Diceros bicornis minor: one gene and its partners. The protein of the gene in region 2 interacts with the protein of the main gene of each other region in a biochemical or structural test. Links are inferred from orthologs where the notes say so. Each region holds a gene or a part of one and is shown on either strand. Other genes may lie near its edges. The genes, in order: LNPK, KLHL12 and DRD4.

Region 1 (3,746 bases), on a different chromosome or scaffold from region 2:
GATTCTTCCATTAAAATAATCTTGTAGGCCTTTAACAGTAAAGGAAGTTCAGTTTTACGTTTCTCAAGTTCCAAACTTAACTAGAAACTATTCAGTCACTATCAACAGTACCTCTCCAACATATTGTCTCATTCAATTTAAGATTAAAAGTGATCTGTTGTAGAACTCTAACTTTCAAATATCCCAAATGAAAAGGCAATTCTGAAATATCCCAAACCACCACATACTACTCAAAAATAAAATTATTGAAAAAAAGCAATAAAGAAGCACCTCTAAAAGCACTTCTATTATATGATGGTTAAGTTCTGGTCTTCATGGTGAGTCTATGCTCATTCTGAACTAAATACTTCCAAAAAAATGACTATTTGATTAGAAAGATTTCGATATGAAACCATACCTGTTTGATAGCTACATAACTTCTTCCTTTTCTTATATTCTCTTTCAAGTTAATAACATAGAAACACTATATAAGTTTATTAATAGCATTGGGTTGATCTCAGTAGATGACAGAGAAACTTAAAATTCTAATTTTAAATGCACCACTCTTGTTTTAAAAAAATGTGTTCAAAATCAACTTGCTTCTCCTAAAATGGATCTATGGGGACTGCTGAGGACAAGAGATTAGCATTCCCTGCCAGTGTGAACATATGCCTGAAACCAAGCTTACTCACATCCACAAAAACCGCCGTTGAATACAGTCAATTTTGTCAACGGTGACACCCAAGCCATAGAGAAAGGAGAAAACACAGTTGACACTAAGGGACCACAGAGCAGAAGCCAACTGGGAAAACGGGAACATGCAAAACTCAGTGAGTCATGGGTTTTACTTAGTACAGTGAGGGCACCATCAGCAAAACTAGTCCACCAATCTCAACTCTCTCTCAATCCCCATACACAATATTAAAGAATTAAAACTATTGATGTAGTTTAGATTTGCTCTTCTCCTGCCATGTTTATGCCACCTATGCCCTCACCATTCCCTCTCCCCCCATCCCCCTTAGGCCGCCCACCGTCCCTCAAACAAGGACCACGGTTGTCGAGAGGCTTCTGTAAAGCAGCACAGAATCCACGCCCACACGCCTGGGCCGAGCAGCATGACACTGACAGTTTTCGGTCCCTCCAGATCTTTCCAACTCATGGCGCCTCCGCACAAACTCAGAGAAAGAAGAGACGGGTAGAACACTCAAAGCGATAGCTTAGCATAGGACCTTCTGACCCTTCGCCTAGGCATAGGCGGGCCAAAGAGCCGATGCTCAGATCCATCCAGTCACACACCCCCCGCCCCCCCCCCCCCCCCCGGCATCTTCGTGAACCGAGCTGGAGAACCACCTCCCCGTGGCGGGGCGGGGGCAGAAAGGAGTCTCCAGCACTCCAGAGCCACCCCTGCCACGGTGCAGGATAATCAAGGGGACCAGGCGGCGACACTGGCGCAACGCGCAGCCGGGCAGGGGTCTGACCAGCCGGCGCCGCGGAGCTCCTAGGCCACTCGGCATGGGGCGGGGCGCCCGGGAGAGGCAAGCGGGGGGAACCGGGAGCGTATCTCCCACGGCAAAGCTCAGCGCACCTCCCCTCTGCCGAGCCCTCCCAACTGCCCTCCTTGTGAGCGCTCTACCTTCAAGAAGCGGGCAAAGCCCGGCGCTGGCGTCCACCCCAGCCAGCTTGGGCGGCCACCGCGCAGCCTGCCTCCGGAGCAGGCAGCCGCCGCCACTGACAGAGCTCTGGGCCGGGCCAACTCCTTCCCATCAAACCCCGCGCTCCCGCCGCCGGCCAATCCGCGCCGCGGCCGGCGCGCGCCGCTCCCCCGTCACGTGACTGTGACTCGGGCGCGCAGTTGGGGCGGGGGAGTGGGGAGGTCGGCCCGGGGGCGCCTGTCCGTATGGCCTCCGCAGCCAAATACGGTGCTGGTCGCCGCGTCTTGGAGATGTACTGCCGTTTATTATGACTCTTACCAATGCAGTTACTTCTTACTCTTCCTCTCCCTCCTTCTTTTCTTGTCAAGCCTGCAGTACCAAGTCTCGCTGGAGAAAGAAAACCCCAAAATTGGTCCTGGTGGTCCTAGACTGCCGCGAGAGCAGAGTGGGGTTGAGGGTGAAGGTGGGTGCGTCTGGAAAGGAGTCCGTCCTGAAGAGTCCCCGAGCAGCTGTCATCCAGCCGGCAGCAGAGCAAGTTAATACGACATAGCTTAGAAGAGACCCAGTTCCCAAACAAGCCAGTGGAGAAAATTCAGGGTAGACTCCAGCCAGGAGTGCTTGAGGCTTTTATCACTCGTGACGTCAAAAAGGGTCATTGGATGCCTGGACGCTTACCTCGCCGGCGTGTGGTAAACTTTAAATGTTTGAAGTTGATGTTGATTTCAAACCGTGGATAACAACATAAGCTGTTTTCTATCTTAAAACTCTCACCTCAAAAACACCCGCTTCACAGGTCCTGATACGTGGGCCCACGAATAAACCACTCAGACTATGTTTGCCTCAGATTCGAAATATTGGCTAAAGATCGTTTTCTAGACACCTGGGACTGACAAGTCTAAATAACAAATGATTCTTGAACCCCACGAGGTAACTTGGAGAAAGGAAGAGAAATTTCAGCAAAAGCTTTTGTCATGTTTTACCCCTGTGACGTGTTTTAGCCTTGTGTGCAAACATTTTTTATGGAATTTAAAAATTTTTTTTAGTTACATACACATTTTAAATAATAAAAAGTTTGCATGATTTTTAAAGAGTATAATCCTTTTAATATGCTGCTTTTAAACTTTGACAATGCAAACAGATAAAGTAAGAAAAGAAACTGAGTAGTATCTAGTTGGTTAGAACAATTTACTATACTGGAAGCTACTAGATAATTCACTGTGGAGTTGCTTGTCCTAACAGCTAATATCTTTAGTTACAGCTTTGTAAACTTGAAAGGATGAAGAAAAGGGAACCAAAGTTTATTATTTCTTGTGTACTCTGGGTCAGGCACCTTATAAATCTAGAAGAAAATGAAAAGAGAGATTTCACCTATTTTGATATGGAAATTTAACCATTTTGTTTTTCATCTTTTGCTATTTCAAAGTTAAAAAAAAAAAAAGGCCTGTGCAGTTATGCAAATACATCTCTTCACCTCAGGAAGATCTCTTCTCCTAAGAGAACAGGGAAGAAGTATATTCCACTTGCTAATGACTTGTTCTCTAGTTTTAATTAAGCCGTGAAGGTCTATTGTATGGGGGAAAAAAACAGGAACCGGGACACAGAGAAGAGCTAGCTAAGTGCAAGAGATTCCAAAAACCTAATCCTGAGAGAAAATTCCCTGGGTAATTGCTCTAGAAGGGGAGAGATTTGGCCTGGCAAGGGGAGGGAGAGAAGTGGTGAATCATTGACTCTTTTAATCCTCCCAACAACCTTTTAAGATAAGTATCATTTTTCAAAAGAAGAAACTGAAGGCAGAAAGAGTATGTGTTTTGTGGAAGGTAACACTATACCACTACCTCCTTTACATCAAGTGGTAAGAGTTTGTCTGGCACAGTGAGGGAAGACATAACGAGCGAAGAAATCAACATATGTACTATGAGGCTGGACTACAGGCCACAGGGGTCATTCCAAATATTTATTGAGGACAAGACCCTGTGTTAAGTGCTGAAGATATAGAGATAAATAAAACAGCTGCCCTAAGGCAACTGACACTAGTGAGAGAAACTTTCAAGAAAACAAACAAAAAATACAATATAGGGTAAATAACTGCTGTGATAGAGGCAAATGTTCAAGAGA
Region 2 (3,746 bases):
CCTACACTAGTAGAGTGAATACCAATTTTCTTCAATATCGTTAGGAGGAGGGGGAAGAGCACTGAATCCCTTCTGTTCCCTTCCCTCCTCTCTATCCCCCTGGTATTCACTTTAAAATATTAAACGTTAGAAGGAGCAAAACAGGAAAACAAAATTAAAAACAGTAACTAAAATCCAATAGCTGACATTTGTGTTTTACCACATTCTAGACACTGTTCTAAGCACTTTATATGTAATGTTCTCAAATAACCGTCACAATAACCACGTTATTGTGCATTCCTACTATCCCACGTAGAGATGAGGAAACTAAGGCATGGCCAAGTGGCAGATCTTATCCAGAGCCTGCCCATTTAACCACCATACTATAGAAATTCACTACTACATCAAACTTCTACCGTTTTATTCAGTAAAATGAGGCAATTACAAGGTTACATGTGTGACTGTCATTTGTGAGGGGATAACTTACCACTTACCTCACTGGTGAACATGGCACAGAAGTAGTCACTACAGGCAGCCAGCACAATCCGATGGGCAGGGAAGTCCTTCTGCTCTACTCTCAATGTCACATCACAGAGGGTATTGCTCTTCCTGAGGGAGTTCATTGAATTGAGGATGGATTTAGCATGAGTATTTGTCATTATGTCTTTGGGGGCCATAGTGCCTCCCATCAAGCAATATGGAGAAGGAATGAAAGGTGTCCTTGGATTCTACAAGTACAAAAAAAAAAAAATGAGCATATCTGAAGGACTGGGGAGACTGAATATATTCAATTAGCTTTACAAATTAAGGAGGCTTCCTCAGACCCAAACACCCACCAGTAGAGAACACTGCTATTCCTGGCATTACCGCCACAATATAGCTACTAACTATCCCAAGTAAAAAGGATCTCTTCTTCTTCTGAATTCTGCTATTACTGAGCACACCTACCACTTGACATTTATTATAATCAATACTCAACTGTATTGCAAACAGAAACTTCACATGTCCTGCATCTTTACAAGGCTGTTGTCTCAAATGATAAAATGATGAAAAGATAAAATTTCTTAAAAGTGTGATATCAGTATTATTTAACATCCATCCATAAGATTAAGTACGTACGTACGTAGAGGATGGGGATCCCGTTTTACATATTTTTTCTACGCTAGCAGGTGTACAATGAATGTCTAGTAGTTCAATGCAACAAAAGAAAAATTGTGTATTCAACTACGAGCAATAAAGGGTCACTGAAAATGGACTTTTTTCTAATGAAGTAGGCAAGGAATTATTTAAGATGATTTCCAACTATATCTGGATTTCTTCTTAAAATTACACTTCAAATGAAGACCCGGTACCTACACTGAGTAATGGAAACCATGCAAGCTTATCCACAGACTTTCTCTCACATTATTGAAGCTCTGCTATAGAGGGGGTCTTCCTACTCTATCTTATTAGTAAATGTCCATCAACATTAACAAATCAACAGCTGTAGTAATTCTTCTATACTGAAACAGAGAGCCTCATTAGGATAGAAACCTATCAAAACTCCACCACTGATTTTACTACCATAGCTGGTCACTTGCAAAGTTCACTTGTATGCATCAACTAAATGAACTCAGTAAGAGATCACGTATCAAAAAACCAATTTAAGAAGTATTTTCTTGATTGTTGACAGGCTTTAGACACACTATTTTTTTCTTTTTTTGCGTCAAACACAATTTCTGGGGAGTAAAATACCGTGGTTACTAAGAGTCTATCTTATCTGGAATCCAAACTTTCTTCAATGATCTAAGGGAAAAAAAAAATCAAACGACGTTCTTCAAGAGTCCACAACCCACAACGGTAATTTTTGAATAGTAAAAACGAGACCCTAAATTCTCATCTACTCCTGTTTACAGTTAGCATATTATCCTACAAGCACTCCAGGTAATCCCTCCAACAACTGTGCAAGATACATTTTACAGAAAAGGATGATTCATCAAAGCAGATGACGTTTTTCAAAAAGATTTTCCTTAAGCCTACTTAGTTTCAACTCTGGTAAGAAGGTCTAAGACACGCACACTGAGGCAGTGTGAGGACTTGCTGCGGATTATGGCAGGGCTCAGCCTATGACCCGCCTTTGCAGCCTCCAGGCTCTCCTCCCCGGGGATTCCTGCCTCGCCTCACCTTCCCGAGGCGATCTATTCTAGAACTTGCGCGAACATCCGAGGGTTCCGCCCTAGGAGACTCGGGGAGGGGAGCGGTGTCGAGCTCAGGGAAGGCTCAACCCCAGGCAGGAGGGAGGGAAAGGCGGTCTCCGCCCCGACACCCAGGCAGAGGCCCGGGGCGCATCTCTCCCGTTCCGACCGAGGGCGGAGCACCCATGCTGGAGTCGAGGGACGGGAGGAGGCGGCGGCCCCGGCTCCGCGCACTCACCTCCGCTCCCGGCCCACCCCGCGCCGGCCGCGCCTCGTCCGTGGGAACAGGCTGGGGGCCAGCAGGGGGCCCAAGTGGAGCCCAAGCGCCGCCGCCGCCGCCGCCGCCGCCGCCGCCACCGCCACCCCGGCCCCAGGCTCCGGAGCCGTCACCAGGTCCCCGCGGCCGCGCAGCTTGATGACGTACGCAGCACGAGGTCCGCCCCTTCCGTTCCCTCTGCGTCACGTGAGGGGGGCGTCGCGGTGCCCGCAGGCCCGGGTTTCCAGCCCGGGACAGGAAGCGAACGGCAGGTGGGCGGAGGGCGGCCCGCCCGCTTGGAGAGCGGCCGAGACTGAGGTACTCTTGGGGTCACGACGCAGGCCGCTTGAGAGGATCCCACAGATTTCTAGGCTGAGGAGTTCACTGCAGGGAGTCTGTGCTACCTGCCAGGTGTTCGGGAACCTTCTCACGTCGAGAAAACCCCCGGGTCTTCAGATTGCTTCAAGTCCGTGTCTGCGTTGCCCCTTTTCAGGCGACCACCGCTGCGGTGAGAATCCTCCGAGCCTTGCGCTCCGCTCACCTCAGCCTTCTCCACATCGCGAGGGGCCGGTCGTCACTCCTGAGGTCATGTCCTCTGCCTCTTGCACTCCCAGACAATTAAGTGGAAGGAACTCGTGGTCACCAGGGGTTAGACGTTGTGAGTCTTCTTAGAAGTCCCAGTAGTCCTCATCTTCCTCTTCTGCTGACTTTTCGCTAGCTCATGGGTGCTGAGCGTTTTTGCTTCTAATCGATTTTGGCGCACTTTTCTTAGAGGCTCGGAAGGGAATGAGGTTCCTTGGTTCAACTGATGTAAACGTACAAACTAATCGTGTTTGATTATACTGTTTTCCTCTGTGACGCCTTTGATTCTTTAGCGATAATAAAACCATAGCCAAGTGGATAGCAATCTAATTTTACCTAGTGTTTCTAAATTTCCTATCATCTGTCTCTGATCTAACATTATCCCTGATTTACACAGGGTGAGTGGGAGTGCAGGATTGGTACAAATTCTATTGGGGGCATTTTGGAAAAGTTCACCAAAATTATGAATGCAGATATCCTTTGAGCGATTTTTATAATTTTATCCTTCGTATATACTCGTGCATTCATAAAATAATGTGTGTGCAAGGTCGTTTGTAGATTAGATTAAAAACTACCTTAATGTCTATCAGTAGGGGACTGGATCAATAAAGTATGGTACATCCGTACAATCCGATACCGTGAGGTTGTAAACAGTGTGTATAGTTTGCCATTATTTGTGTAAAATGTTGGCAAAATATAAATATTCGTATTTGCTAGTATATGTATAAAATGCATTTGGAAAGATACAAAATAAA
Region 3 (3,746 bases), on a different chromosome or scaffold from region 2:
CGGGGGTCGGGGTGGCGTCGGGGGGCGGTGTGGCATTAGGGAGCAGGGTTGCACCTGGGGGTTGTGGGCCGGGGGACAGGATGGCGTCGGGGGGCAGCGAGCCGGGGGGCGCAGTGGCGTCCAGAGTCTGTGGGCTGGGGGGTGCGGTGGCATCAGGGGGCGGTGGGCCCGGGGACGGGATGGCGTCGGGGGCCGACAGAGTGGGGGGCTCAGCGGTGTCCAGAGTCTTCGGGCCGGGGGGCGCGGTGGCGTCGGAGGACGCGGTGGCATCGGGGGCCAGCTGGCAGGGAGGCGGGATGGTGTCGGAGGGCGGGATGGCGTTGGAGGGCGGCCCGGGGGGCGGGGTGGCGTCGGGGGGCGGGCCGGGGCCGCTGGTCCGGTGGGGCGCGCGGCCGCGCAGCTTGGCGCGGCGGGCGGCCTCCCAGCGCCGCAGCCCGCGGAAGGTGGCCCAGTAGAGCAGCAGCATGAGCGGGCAGGGCAGGAAGAAGGAGCACACGGACGAGTAGACCACGTAGTCGCGGTCCTCCAGGCGGCACACGGCGGGGTCGCGGCCGTGCGCGTCGTTGAGGCCGCACAGCACGGGCGCCGCCACCGCAGCCGACAGCAGCCACGTGGCGCCGATGAGCACCAGCTGACGGCCGCCCCGGCTCTGGCGGTTGTAGCTCAGGGGCACGGCCACGGCCACGAACCTGCGGGGAGCGCGGTGAGCGGAGCGGGGACAGGGGAGGGGGCGCAGCGCGCGCGCAGGGGCACGAGGCGGGGCAGCGGGCGGCCCACCTGTCCACGCTGATGGCGCACAAGTTGAAGATGGAGGCCGTACACAGCATCACGTCCATGGCCATGAGCGCGTCGCAGAGGCCGGGGCTCAGCAGCCACACGCCGCCCTGCACCTGGGCCGCCAGGAGAGGGGACGCCACAGCAACAACAGACACAAGACCCGCTGACGTTCCCCCAGCCACGGCCAGGCCAGCAGCCCTCACAGCCACTGGTCGCTCCGTCTTTCTGACCCCCACTATTTTGGGGAGCAGAGGCTGAATATCAGAGGGGGAGGGAGCCGGGGTGAACCAGGGGCAGCTGCCCAGGCTCTGCCCCGACCCACGGGCCTCGGCAGTCCTCCCCAGAACAGGCGCCAAGAGACACACCCCCAGGTCTCCTTTCTGTTAGAACTGAGACAGGCCTGAGGATTATGATATCTGATGATGGGCTCAGGGCCCCAGGGGCCCCACCTGGGCAGGGGGGCCCTGCTACCCTGGAGCATGAAGCCCACCACTCCTGTTTCCATGGCTAGGAACCAGCCTGTGTTGTTAAACTCTGCCACTGCTCTGGGACTTTGGTTGAGTCACTTCACTTCTGTCCCCTCATCTGTAAAATGAGGGTGATGACAGTACTCACATAATTGTCCTGAGGATAAATGAGTTAAAAAATATAAAGGCCTCGGCACTGTGCCCAGCGCTCCCACCAAGGGCAAAGGAGCAGACAGCCGCCCCCCCTTCTAAATCCCCTCCCGCTGATTTGGGACGATTAGGAGCTTAAGAGCCGTCACTGTGACGTCTGTCTGCAGCTCCGGGAGCGGCAGGTCATGCATGTCCTTGCCCTGCTAGCCTCTGCCCCAGCCCTGCCTGGACTCAGTGTCCACCTTAGAAAAACCAAGTCTCCCCTCCCCCCAGCCCAGGACACTGTGTCCCCAACCCAGCCCTAAGCAGCTTCCCTCTGCCCAGACTGTGGAGCAGATGGGCCTGGCACAAAGGGGGACCCACCCAAGGGTCAGACCTGGTCTGGGGGTGGAGGCTCCTCGCCCCAGGTTGTCCCCTCCCTCTAGCCATGCCTACTGCCTGGCAGCTCCTGGCAGCTAGCATCCTTCCAGCTGGGGGCCCAGTCTGTGCATGAGTGAGGGCTCCTTCTGTGGGGCGAGCTGGTGTGTTCGTGCTCCTGGTGGCCTCGTGCAGTGATGTGTGTCTCTGTGGCCCAGGGGGAGCCGGGGGCTAAGGCTGCATCTGCCTGTCTGTCCAGCTGGCTCTCCTGGGGATCAGAACCCAGCTGAGGGGATGGAGAGGTGGCTGGACTGCCAAAGTCGCCTGTTTCTGGGATGTCTGGCTTGAAGGATAGAGGCATCTCTTGGGTAGCAGACGCCAAGACAGAGGGAGAAGAGAAGAAAGGGACAGAAGAGGGAGTGCAGACAGACAGCAAAGCAGGGAGATGGACAGCGAGTTGGGGGAGGGGAGTGGGGTTCGGAGGGGAGGGAGGCTCCGGTCCGCCTGGGACCCGGCGCAGCGCCCCTCCAATCGCCCAGCTCGAGGTTCCTGAGAAGCCAAGTGGCCGAGCCGCGCTGGGTCCTCGGCGTGGACCGGCACAGGGGACGAAGGAGCAGGTGAGGGGCGCGCGTGCGGCGGTGGCCGCGGGCTCACCTCGGAGTAGACGAAGAGAGGCAGCACGAGCAGGGCGAGCAGGAGGTCGGCGGCCGCCAGGCTCACGATGAAGTAGTTGGTGGGCGTCTGCAGGGCGCGCTCGGCCGCCACGCTCACGCACACGAGCGAGTTCCCCGCGAGCACCGCGCCGATGAGCAGCACGCCCCCCGCCAGCGCCGCCGCCGCCCCGGGGGTCCCCGCGCCGCCGCCCGCCGCCGGCCCTCGCCCAGCCAGCAGCGCGTCCGCGTCCGCGGCGCTGCGGTTCCCCATGGCGCACCGGCCCCCTGCGCCCCGGCGGGCGCTCAGCACCGCGGACAGTGACCAGGGCGCGAACCGGGAGCCCCGCCCTCGGGCACGCCCCCGCCCGGCCTTAGCCCCGCCCTCATCCGCCCCGCCCTCGGTGGGCCCCGGGACGCTCCAAGAGGCACCCTGTATTTGTCCATCTTGGACTTTTGCAGGTGGACAAATGCAACGGCCCGGTGAGATGCGAGTTAAGCGAGGTGATTGGCACAGGCGAGCCCAGGATAGCCCCGCGCCGCGCAGGGTTGGCGGGGACGCGCGGATCTCCGCCCCAAGAAACCGACGGGGATAGAAGGTCGGCCGGATCATACTCCGAGGCGCACAGACATCCACGCCAGCGCCATCCCGCCGGCCCCAGAGACCCCCGGGTCCCTGTATGTGCCCAAGCTGGGTGTCCCCTCAGGGACGCTCCCGGAGGCGCCTCGAGGCGGAGGCGGGGCCGCTTCTAACTCCAGCCTGTTCACGAGGCTTCGGAAGAACATCCTTCTCAGGGCGGTTCCGCCAGACGCGAGGAGACCCGAGCCCAGGCTCCACCCACAGGCCCCGAGCGCTCGGGCGCCTTCCCCTTGGGCCCCTGATGATCGGCGGTGCGTGAGGTACAAGCTCCGTGCGCACCCTTCCTCCCTGCTGCACCCCACTCCGCCCAATCTCTCCTTGCCCTGGCGCGACCCCCGCAATGACTCAGACTCCAGTGCAGGGCCCTGCACCCCATCCCGCAAAGCAGCCTCTCCTCCGGTACCCAGGACGACGCTTAGTCGCTCCACCCGCAGCCACTGCCTGACCCTCCATCCTCCAGGGTGGGCAATGGAGTGGTCAACCCCCATCCCAGCTCCATCACCTTGGAGCCTGTGACCCTGAGCAGGTTGTGTGCCCCTCTGAGCCCGGGAAATTGGTGCTTACCTCCCAGAGCCTTAAATGAGATAACACAGGAAGGGCTGGGAGGAGCGCTCAGGAAGCTTAGCAACCGCTGTGGTTCTGCACGTCCTTCAGACACTGGTGTCACCTGAGTCACCCCCCTCTTCAGAGAGAAGCCCACAATGA

The links.
Region 1: the proteins of KLHL12 (region 2) and LNPK form a complex in vitro, tested with the Homo sapiens proteins (2 studies listed by BioGRID, with this or other methods). The link is inferred for Diceros bicornis minor from reciprocal best matches to the Homo sapiens genes KLHL12 and LNPK.
Region 3: of the proteins of KLHL12 (region 2) and DRD4, one has a biochemical effect on the other in vitro, tested with the Homo sapiens proteins (2 studies listed by BioGRID, with this or other methods). The link is inferred for Diceros bicornis minor from reciprocal best matches to the Homo sapiens genes KLHL12 and DRD4.

Annotation. Positions count from the first base shown.
Region 1 is NC_080749.1:56,664,079-56,667,824, forward strand, and holds the start of LNPK (endoplasmic reticulum junction formation protein lunapark), read right to left. Parts: upstream 2,159-3,746; 5' UTR 1,950-2,158; intron 1,722-1,949; exon of another isoform or gene 1,613-1,721; intron 1-1,612. UniProt on the Homo sapiens protein: Endoplasmic reticulum (ER)-shaping membrane protein that plays a role in determining ER morphology. Involved in the stabilization of nascent three-way ER tubular junctions within the ER network.
Region 2 is NC_080777.1:30,938,643-30,942,388, forward strand, and holds the start of KLHL12 (kelch-like protein 12), read right to left. Parts: upstream 2,491-3,746; 5' UTR 2,392-2,490; intron 2,322-2,391; exon of another isoform or gene 2,143-2,321; intron 708-2,142; 5' UTR 669-707; coding exon 474-668; intron 1-473. UniProt on the Homo sapiens protein: Substrate-specific adapter of a BCR (BTB-CUL3-RBX1) E3 ubiquitin ligase complex that acts as a negative regulator of Wnt signaling pathway and ER-Golgi transport.
Region 3 is NC_080770.1:1,341,620-1,345,365, forward strand, and holds the start of DRD4 (D(4) dopamine receptor), read right to left. Parts: upstream 2,676-3,746; coding exon 2,406-2,675; intron 891-2,405; coding exon 778-890; intron 690-777; coding exon 1-689. UniProt on the Homo sapiens protein: Dopamine receptor responsible for neuronal signaling in the mesolimbic system of the brain, an area of the brain that regulates emotion and complex behavior.